Linked DNA regions of Drosophila melanogaster. The protein of the gene in region 1 purifies or fractionates together with the protein of each later gene. This does not show direct contact. Each region holds a gene or a part of one and is shown in the gene's direction. Other genes may lie near its edges.

Evidence for each region.
Region 2: the proteins of Taf10 (region 1) and Gcn5 purify together in Drosophila melanogaster (affinity purification with western blotting; 4 studies listed by BioGRID). This does not show direct contact.
Region 3: the proteins of Taf10 (region 1) and Taf1 purify together in Drosophila melanogaster (affinity purification with western blotting; 2 studies listed by BioGRID). This does not show direct contact.

The regions. Positions count from the first base shown.
Region 1 is NT_033779.5:2,765,825-2,769,202, forward strand, and holds Taf10 (TBP-associated factor 10), read left to right. Parts: upstream 1-2,065; 5' UTR 2,066-2,156; coding exon 2,157-2,402; intron 2,403-2,461; coding exon 2,462-2,719; 3' UTR 2,720-2,788; downstream 2,789-3,378. Other genes in the region: aph-1 (anterior pharynx defective 1), read left to right, coding at 491-883, 943-1,266; Taf10b (TBP-associated factor 10b), read right to left, coding at 1,513-1,953; colt (congested-like trachea), read right to left, coding at 2,821-3,378. UniProt on the Drosophila melanogaster protein: TFIID is a multimeric protein complex that plays a central role in mediating promoter responses to various activators and repressors.
Region 2 is NT_037436.4:12,522,364-12,526,118, reverse strand, and holds the start of Gcn5 (Gcn5 acetyltransferase), read left to right. Parts: upstream 1-2,104; 5' UTR 2,105-2,215; coding exon 2,216-3,474; intron 3,475-3,528; coding exon 3,529-3,755. Other genes in the region: eIF2beta (eukaryotic translation initiation factor 2 subunit beta), read left to right, coding at 1-133, 442-965; ver (verrocchio), read right to left, coding at 1,034-1,678.
Region 3 is NT_033777.3:6,644,857-6,648,611, forward strand, and holds the start of Taf1 (TBP-associated factor 1), read left to right. Parts: upstream 1-2,032; 5' UTR 2,033-2,133; coding exon 2,134-2,315; intron 2,316-2,437; coding exon 2,438-2,745; intron 2,746-2,808; coding exon 2,809-3,072; intron 3,073-3,126; coding exon 3,127-3,338; intron 3,339-3,403; coding exon 3,404-3,755. UniProt on the Drosophila melanogaster protein: TFIID is a multimeric protein complex that plays a central role in mediating promoter responses to various activators and repressors. Largest component and core scaffold of the complex.

The DNA.
Region 1 (3,378 bases):
TACAATTTTTATGAGCTCTAATACATATCGTGTACTTTAGCAACAAGTTATTTTTGAATTAACAGACTTTATATAGTAGGGTATGAAGACATTAGTGCTCTGCAGTCTGGCAGCTTTCAAAAATGTATCTTCAAAAGCGGTCCTAATATACCCTTTCTGTAGTTCAGTAGATATTACTTTTAAAGGCTGGATTTGGTTTTTATATACAAATTAAAGCAAAGGATAGGTAATTAGGCAATTAAGTTAAGATTAAAAGATTCCCATTTGTTTGGATAATTCTCGCAGTTTAAATAATTTGTATACTTTTGCGTGACGCACAAGCTAATGTACTCATCTGTGTAGGGTATGTACACTACTAAAACGTACAGTGTGGCAGCCCGAATGGCACTGCAAAAGTCTGGCAACTCTATGCGAGTCTCTGCTTCCTCTTCCCAAGTAAACCAAAACACCCACAGAGCAAAAGAAAAAACAGTAATAATACAAAGACAAGATGACGTTGCCCGAGTTCTTTGGCTGCACCTTCATCGCCTTCGGACCGCCCTTCGCCTTGTTCGTCTTCACCATCGCCAATGATCCAGTGCGGATCATCATTCTGATTGCGGCGGCATTCTTCTGGCTGCTTTCCCTGCTGATCTCTTCCCTGTGGTATGCCCTGATTCCGCTGAAGGAGTTCCTGGCATTTGGCGTGGTCTTCTCGGTGTGCTTCCAGGAAGCCTTCCGGTACATCATCTACCGGATACTGCGCAGCACGGAGCAGGGATTGCACGCCGTGGCGGAGGACACGCGAGTGACGGACAACAAGCACATCCTGGCCTATGTCTCCGGCTTGGGATTCGGCATTATATCCGGGATGTTTGCACTGGTCAATGTGCTGGCTGATATGGTGAGTGCAGCAAAGGTGCGTAATGTGCTCCGAGCAATGACAGATCTTTTGGTTTTTAGAGTGGTCCCGGCACCATGGGCTTGAAGGGCGGAACTGAGCTATTCTTCGTCACCTCGGCTGCCCAGGCGTTGTCGATTATCCTGCTGCACACCTTCTGGAGCGTTATTTTCTTCAACGCATTCGACACAAACAACTATATCCACATAGGCTATGTGGTTTTCAGCCACCTGTTCGTCTCCCTGATAACTCTGCTCAATGCCAATGAGCTTTACACGACCACTCTGCTGATAAACTACTTGGTCACCATACTTACGGGAGTCCTGGCCTTCCGGGTGGCTGGAGGAACATCTCGCAGTTTCAGAAAATTCATAACATGCCAGTAAACATACTCCTAGTATTAACCGCCTAGTTAATAGCTTTTGTATAACATTATAAAAAAAAACAAATTACCTTGTATATGCTCGATTAGTTACGCATTCTATGGACTTAAATCCCTTTACTAAATGGATTTCTTGAAAGAATGAGAATGCATTAAGATCCCAAGGTCTTTCGCAATAAATTCCCAAAACACAGATCTTAAGATACATTATTTTTAATGAGAAAAAAACTACTACAATGCATGCCATTATCTACTGACTATAGTCCACTTTCCTAACATTAATACCGTAGTCGGCCAAAGCCGGCTGCAGATCCTCCATGGTCAAGGTGAACTTGCGGTCCTTGGCCTTCGATCCTCCCGGTGTATTGGTGGTTTGCATATGGGTGCGCGCCTTGGAGTGCTGCAGTGCATCGTCGATGATGTCGGACATGTACTTCTGGGCGGCTAGGCTGATCAGCCGAACGATGCGCTTGTCGTCCGACTGAAAGCCTCCCATGTTGAGATAGTGCGAGGTGACCGCATCCGGAATCAATGGAGTATAATCTTCCAGCTGCGACATGAAGTCGCTGAGATGCGAAGATGGTGTGGTCCTATCCCGATCTCCACCGCCACCTCCTCCCGAGGATTGTCCATGACTGCTTGCGCCACCGGCGCTGTTGTGGTAAATAATTCCGAAATTGGAGCCCACCATCGAAAAAAGTGTACAATACAAATTAAACACAGTGCAGACGTAGTGATGGGAGATGCTAGTTATCGAATTATTCCGTATTGTTGCTGCCAGTGCTATCGATTCTTCTTACGGTTCGTCATCGATTACAATATAAACATACACACATATACACGCCAGCTGAGATAACAAATTTCTGGAAATAAACAATTAAAAAGTGGAAAACAATGGCTTCCGATGGCGAGGACATCAGTGTTACACCCGCAGAATCCGTAACATCGGCCACGGACACCGAGGAGGAGGATATAGACTCGCCACTAATGCAGTCCGAACTGCATTCCGACGAGGAGCAACCGGACGTGGAGGAGGTTCCTCTGACGACGGAGGAATCGGAGATGGATGAGCTGATAAAGCAGCTGGAGGACTACTCGCCCACCATACCAGACGCCCTCACCATGCACATCTTGAAAACGGTAGCTATATACCGGAAACTATTCTTTGTAGCATTTCTAATATTGGATTAAATCTGCAGGCTGGCTTCTGCACAGTGGACCCCAAGATAGTGCGCCTCGTCTCGGTGTCCGCGCAGAAGTTCATCTCGGATATTGCCAACGACGCACTGCAGCACTGCAAGACGCGCACCACGAACATCCAGCATTCCAGCGGACACAGTTCCAGCAAGGACAAGAAAAACCCCAAGGACAGGAAGTACACGCTGGCCATGGAGGACCTGGTGCCGGCACTCGCGGACCACGGCATCACCATGCGCAAGCCGCAGTATTTCGTTTAGATTTAGTTAAGCTCTAAAGTTTTGAATTGGGCACACAAATATAGCTAGTTTTCTTCAAGTTGTAAAAACATTTTAGCGAGGCACTTTCTTTATTAGACAAACTAGAAATTTGGAGCTACGATGTTAAAGAATTTGTTAGCCAACTCAATGCCGAAGAAGCAGGCAGCGTTGGCTGGGAAGGCTCGGAGCATGATGGGCGTCACGCCGCGGTACAAGGCCAGAGGTCCATCCTTGACAATCAGATCCTTGAAGACACTGCGTATGCCGTGCTTGTAGGTGCCTTCGGGAGCCGATTGTAGGCGGCTCTTTAACACGTCGGCTGGCATGCCCAGAATCCAGTAGGCCATGCCCGCCACTCCACCTGCGAAAATCGTTGAGGCAGTACTGATTTGTCCCGTCTCTGACTTCGACTTGGCCACATCCTGCAGCGCCTCGTAGACCAGGAAGTACAGCCCGTTGGCGGGCAAATCCCTGAGCATTGTGGCGCAGCTGCCCTTGAAAACGCTGCGAAGTCCACCCTCCTTGTATAGCTTGCCGGCGCAGTCGATCATGCCGTTGTACTTGCGCTCGCCACCCTGACCCTGCTGCGTCTGCAGGAGCACCTTGATGCGCTCGCCGGGTGCCATTATCAGGGTGGAGAACAGGCCGGAGAAGGAGCC
Region 2 (3,755 bases), on another chromosome or scaffold:
CCCGAGGAGGAGGAGATCAATCTGGACATGGACTTCTCGATGGCCAAAAAGAAGAAGAAGAGCAAGAAGAAGGAACTGGACGAGCTGTTTGCGGACCAAGCGGACGACGACAAGAGCGAAGACAAAGAGAACGGTACGGTGACGAATTGCAGAGCAGCCAGGGAAGCTTAGGGTTATAGAATCATCCCAACCAAGATTGGCAGCCATATAAGCTTGTTGTCACTTGACAAAGGCAAAGCTATACGATTCTTAAAGTGTATAACTTGGCTTTCGCCTTTTCCGAAGCATTAAAACTCAGTGTATGAAGTGAACTAGAAATGCTTAGCCAGTGAGTTAGCATGTAGCTGTTCCAACTTTAAATAGACTCCAGATTTCAAAGCTCTCACTTAGCAAATAAGCTTATACCATACCCTTTTAAATAACGTTTTCATCCGTTTACAGACGAGGACAACAGCTCAACCTGGTTTGGCTCCGACCGCGATTACACATACGACGAGTTGCTGAAGCGGGTCTTCGAAATCATTCTCGACAAGAATCCGGACATGGCCGCCGGCCGAAAGCCAAAGTTCGTGATGCGACCGCCGCAGGTGCTGCGCGTGGGAACCAAGAAGACCTCCTTTGCCAACTTCATGGACATTGCGAAAACGCTGCATCGCCTGCCCAAGCATCTGCTCGATTTCCTGCTGGCCGAGTTGGGTACCAGTGGCTCCATGGACGGCAACCAGCAGCTGATCATCAAGGGCCGTTTCCAGCCCAAACAGATCGAGAATGTGCTGCGTCGCTACATCAAGGAGTACGTCACCTGTCACACCTGCCGCTCCCCGGAAACGATATTGCAGAAGGACACGCGTCTCTTCTTCCTGCAGTGCGAATCCTGTGGCTCCCGCTGCTCGGTGGCCAGCATTAAGTCAGGTTTCCAGGCTGTCACCGGCAAACGTGCCGCCATACGAGCAAAAACAACCTAAATTCTCCTTATTTAAAACTTTTTGAATTTTTATTACCAGTAAAATTTCAATACAAAAAACCAACGATACTATTTATTTGTTGTATTCTGCATTGTTTTATGCCTTCGTTGCCAGTCGGTTAGGTAGTCTACGAAGCCAATTTCCATATTCCGCGATCGGCCGCTGTCTATGAAGAACTGAAAAGCGTCCAGACCCATCTTGCCGCGGAACCTATTCGGACGACCGCGCAGGAATAGGCTGTGGCCCCTCGAGATGCGCGTGGGATCAATGTACTCCATGGAGACCTGCAGCAGCCGCATCATGCTCACGGCAATGCTCTTGTAGGCCTCGGACGAGGCCAGCGAACTGGCTTCACTGTACAGGCTGCTGATCACGCGTCCATTGAAGGGTTTTTTGGTGATGCTGGCCTCCAGGGAGCCGGTGCCATCATCGATCATGAACTTCATGAACGACTCGTTGTGCGTTCCATTGCCAGTTACAAAGGCGTAGATGATGCAGGTGCAGAAGTGAATCGGATGCACGTCGTCTGTGATGAACACATTCTCGTTCTCCGGATCCTGAGTTGCGCGCTCAATCTGGGATATGGTCAGCGGCACGTTGTCGTGGACCTCCGGACCACATTTGCCCGTGGACTTTTCACTCTGTTGATTCTTGCGTATCACGAAGTTATCCAGCTGGCTTTCTATGTCCTCGAAACTCTGATTAAAATCCATTCTATTTGCTTAGTCTGCGATTTCAAAGGGGATTTCTTTATTGCAGTGCATTTTGCATTAGCGCCAAAAAAAAAAACAGTTGTGAGCATGGGCGTAGACTTCGTATTTTCTTACAAATAATATTAATTAAAATTAATTTTGTGAGCAATTTTCACACAATTGTATTATAAGTTAAAACCAGGGTCACATTAATTTGCAGAACCGCGCAATATTTTCTTTTTAACCCCCTTACAAATTTTCAGTTGTTTTGACTACGCCCCTGCTAATTTTTACTTATTAAATTCAAAGTCTAAAAACATTGTCACCAGATAATACGAGTATACACTATATGGACAAACGTAAAATCGTTAATAGAATATATATATTCAACCATTATTTCACCACCGAGAGAAATTCATTTGCACAAAACGCCAGGTTGGCAGCACCATCATTGCGCACAGCAAGTGGGCAAACTCGTTGTATCGCTTGTGAAATTTAAGGAAAAGTACACTTTGTTCAAAACTAACGAAGAGAATCGCAATATCTGCCGATCTTGGAATGTCTGGTGGTCCATCCATAACGATAAAAAGCCAACCAATCGATGGTAACAACACGGGCAACGCTGCGGCGCAACAGCAGCAGCAGGCAGCGAATGGCGCAGCAACCGCTGGTGCATCTGGAGCCGCTGGCAGCGCCCAGAATCCAGGACACGGAGGAGCTGCGTCCGGCGCTGGCAGTGTGCCGGCAGAGGGAACGCGCCAGAACAGCCTACAGCGCATTCAGCAGCGAAAGCAAAAGGTCTTCAATCTGCCCGTGCCACAGAAACTGGCCAAATTGTCGATGTATTCCGCCTGCCAGTCTGAGGGATGCCGTTGCACCGGCTGGAAGACACCGCAGGAAAATCGCCACCGTGACGTCGAGTCCTCCTACTGTCCGGAGTTCAACGAGGAGTGCCGCAACACCAGCTGTCGCCATTCGCTGAGATCGCACATAGCCCATCTGGACAATATATCCAGTTCCAGCATGAACGAGCTACTGGGCGCCATTATAGACATGGAGAACCTATTCATGTCCATGCAGCGCGTCGAGGACGAGGACACCAAGAAGGTGTACCAGTACCTCTTCCGTTTGCTGCGCCAGTGCGTCCTCACGCGCCAGCAGGCGGTCATCCGGGGTCCTCTCGGCGATCCACCATTCGAGACGCCGTGCATCACCAAGGCTGTGCTCTCGTTGGTCTTCTACAAGTACAATCACCTGAGCACGCCTGAACTCCAAACCATGACCGAGGTGGCCAAGACGTTCTTGAACTTTCTGAACCACTACAACTTTGAATCGCCGTCGACCAGGAGAGGAGATCTCACCCACGAGGATGCCTCTAACTACAAAATCAACTACACCAGGTGGTTGGTGTTCTGCCACGTGCCCGCCTTCTGTAACTCCCTGCGCCAATGTGAAACGTCCCTAGTGTTTGGACGAACGCTCCTGCGCACCGTTTTCCAGTGCATGTCGCAGCAGCTGAAAAAGAAGTGCATCTCCGAGCGGGATCGCTTTCCCGAGGACAAGCGTTCGATCATCACGCTGATGCCGAAGTTTTTGGAAACGCTTCGCGCCGAATTGCTCAAGGATGATTCGCCCATCTGGGATACCAGCTACCGCCCGTCAAATTCCTTTGTCATCCAGCAGAGAAAGCGTAACCAGGAGGTGGCAAATGTACCCATTGGTCCCAGTGCAGCAAGCATTGGTGGAAACAAGAGGACCAGTGTGGGTGAACCGCTCCACAAGCGAATCAAAAAGGAGCCCACCGATCGTCCAAGCAGGTTGGTAATCAGTTTTTTCTTCTTTCAATACATTTACTAATCGTCCTGCCGCAGTGAGAATTTGGATGACCTGCCTGCGGATGTAGTAATGCGCGCCATGAAATCGGTGTCCGAGTCGAAGACCACCAACAAAGCGGAAATTCTCTTTCCGGTTAATGTGTCGCGGGATGAGAACGTCAAGGCGGAGGAGCAGAAGCGAGCCATTGAGTTCCATGTGGTGGGCAATTCGCTGACCAAACCGGTGGACAAGCAGACTGTTTTGTGGCTACTGGGCCTGCAGC
Region 3 (3,755 bases), on another chromosome or scaffold:
TTAGGCAAAACAGATTTTGGACACGTCGATAAACGCCAAAAATCTAACAAATTCGAAAAAAATATTTTATTTTAGTTTTGCTATCTATCAATGTTCCATCCATATTTTGATTTAGCTGCGTAGTATCTGATAGTCGAGGTAATCGACTAGAATTTGTTTCCTTATTGGACGATAAGAAATTTTGTACCGTAGGCAAGCTAAGTTTACATACCCTCTCAAGTAAAAACATCTCATGTAATTTTACAATATTGTCCGTATGAACGTGTGACCCTCCATGTCCCCCCATGCCCCGCCATGTCCGACCGTGTCCCAATGACGGGACTTGGCTTGGTGCGGGCTGACACGAATCTCGATCTATATGTGGATATTAGTAAACACATGTATGGAATGTCATGGAGTTCTCCTGATAATCGTGTTGGTGACAGGTAACAGCAGTGCGTTATACAGCGAAACAAGAACTATAGATTTCTTTAAGCATGGAGATGGCATATCCAGAGCCATTCCATTAAATATTCCCCCTCTAGGTAGACCTTTCTAAAAGCTATCGCAGGCAGTAACCCTCTAGTCCTCGTCCTACACAAAAACTCGAATATCAAGTGCGACATTCTGAGGGATTGTACTGAAAAACACAAGATTCACTTTGCTTTTCGCAGCCACTTTCTCATCTTAATGATCATATTCTTTCTGCAACAGCGTAAATACTTGCCACCCATCTCCAAGCTTCAAAGTGGCTTAAGTCCTGATCACGGTCGGTATACGTAAATATACGTATATTTATTTTTATTATATCATTCATTCAGCGTGGATAATTAAGTTTCGAAAATTTAATTTGAGGCATTTTATAATGAAGGGAAATTCCAAAAAGACGAAACACAAAAAAATATTCGATTTTTACTAGTCTACCTTTAAATTTTCCCACTTTGTGGTTTTCCATATCTGGGAACAGAAGCCTTGGTAAAGGTAAGTTATAAAACATATAATTAATTTGAGGTACAATGAAGTCGGTCACGGAAAGAGATTAGCAAAAAAATGTACACAATGGCATTGGTTTGTGTCCTAGAGAAATGCTGCCTTGAATTAAAATGATTCTTTAGAGTTTAAGCCATGAAAACGAATTTTCAGCCGGTTTAATCATCAGAAATACATTTTATAACGAAAATCTATTGAAAAACCATAGATTCATTTGATGTAAAAGTTTCAGGATCGGATTCTTGAAGGTGACTAAATTTGTGAGCTCAGCGTACTCTTCCTTTAATCCGTTCAAATAGTTCAAAGCCTGCATATAAAAATCCTACATTCCCATGCAGTTCTTTGGTACAAATATGACAATTTGTGACAGTACAAATCCCAAAGTTGTGGATAGTCTCTTCGAGATTATCATTAAAACGATTCTCAGCTAGAGAAAGCGCAGTTGGTAAAATCGTTTGAGTAAAACCAAGTTAAGAAGAGACTTCTGAAAATAAACATATATATATTTATAATAAAAAATGAATAATAAGAAATATATAAAAATTGATGGTTTAAGTTTTTGCTATCTGAAGTAGTTATGATTGTTTGCTACAGATTTCTGTAAAATCTGAACAACAATAGAGAAATATAGCTCCTTCAACGTTACAAAACCGTAACACAAATGTAGGTCTGAGAACTGTAATTCTAAATTGGCATTGTAGTGCTTATGTATGCCCATTTTTTCTCCAATGAGCGTTGAATAAACTATTTTTGGCTGAATAAAGTTATATTTTGATAGAAGCTGAACAAAAGTGATCGTGTTAATGGTGTTTACAGAAGTTCTATTCAGAAATATATAATTATACAAATGAAATGTACGAATATCAAAGGAATATATATTTTTTAATAAAAATCCACGTATGCCATACATGGTACAAAATTGCCAATTAAAAATATTACAGAGCCCTTTTTGTTGGACACTAACCTTCGGTACAAAACGCAATTGACCTTCCCAAGCTCCCAACCCTTGTCCAAATCTAATCGCGGATTTTCTGGTGCCAGTGGGGAGCCATGAGGCATCTTTGCTTTGTCCATCGACGGTCACACTTACGCGTGTGAAAAATGCAATTACACTCCGTCGAAGAAAATATACTTTAGCCGCGTAAACATTGCAAGCCCATAGAAATGGAGATGGAATCTGACAACAGCGACGATGAGGGATCGATCGGCAATGGATTGGACTTGACCGGCATTCTTTTCGGCAACATCGACTCCGAGGGCAGACTGCTGCAAGATGACGACGGAGAGGGGCGCGGGGGCACCGGTTTCGATGCGGAGCTCCGGGAAAACATTGGTTCCCTTTCCAAGTGAGTACACATGCTTGTACATACATATGTAAACCCGGTATCATTCAAATATATCTTAATTCACAAGATATAAGACACTTTTAATTACATTTCCATTCATATTGCGTATGGATTACTTTCAGATTGGGTCTGGATTCTATGCTGCTCGAGGTTATCGATCTCAAGGAAGCCGAGCCTCCGTCGGATGACGAGGAAGAGGAGGACGCCAGACCGTCAGCCGTCAGTGCCAGCGAAGGAATGAGTGCCTTTGATGCGCTCAAAGCGGGCGTTAAAAGGGAGGATGGCGCCGTAAAGGCTCAGGACGATGCCATTGACTACTCTGACATCACCGAGTTATCCGAGGACTGCCCACGCACTCCGCCCGAAGAAACAAGCACTTATGATGACTTAGAAGACGCCATTCCCGCCTCCAAGGTAGAGGCCAAGTTGAGTAAGTAAGACCGTAATCTACAACGGTTTGATGACATTTAATTTAACCAGTTAACACTGGTAGGAGAGGATATTGCTCAAATTTTTAAAGGTCTATGCAATTCCTGTCAAAGTGACACGATTACTTTTGCACCGCTCAGGTTGGGTTCAGACCTATTGCTATACAGAGAGAATAACTCACATTTTGTTGCAGCTAAGGACGACAAGGAACTAATGCCTCCACCAAGTGCACCAATGCGCTCCGGCTCTGGCGGCGGCATCGAGGAACCGGCCAAGTCAAATGATGCATCTAGTCCCAGTGACGATTCCAAATCTACCGATTCAAAGGGTAAAAATTATTTGAAAACAATAGAATTTTTTTGTCAATGGTCATTCCTTTAAGATGCGGATCGGAAGCTGGACACACCACTGGCAGACATACTGCCGTCCAAGTACCAGAATGTGGATGTGCGTGAGCTCTTTCCGGACTTTCGTCCCCAAAAGGTGCTACGCTTCTCCCGTCTCTTCGGACCCGGTAAACCCACGAGTTTGCCCCAGATCTGGCGACACGTGCGCAAACGCCGCCGCAAGCGAAATCAATCCAGGGATCAGAAGGTAGAAGATCAGAGTACTTTTAAACGGGACGGGATCACCAGGAAACTTTTCGTAAACCATTTCAGACGACAAACACTGGTGGTTCGGACTCTCCAAGCGATACTGAGGAGCCACGAAAGCGGGGCTTCAGTCTGCACTATGCTGCAGAGCCAACGCCAGCGGAGTGCATGTCCGACGACGAGGACAAATTGCTGGGCGACTTCAACAGCGAGGATGTGCGTCCAGAAGGACCGGACAACGGCGAGAACAGCGATCAGAAGCCAAAGGTGGCTGACTGGCGGTTCGGGCCTGCACAGATTTGGTATGATATGCTAGAGGTGCCCGACTCTGGAGAGGGGTTCAACTATGGCTTCAAGACAAAGGCAGCAAGCACCTCGTCTCAGCCGCAACTCAAAGATGAACGCCGTGTAAAGAGTC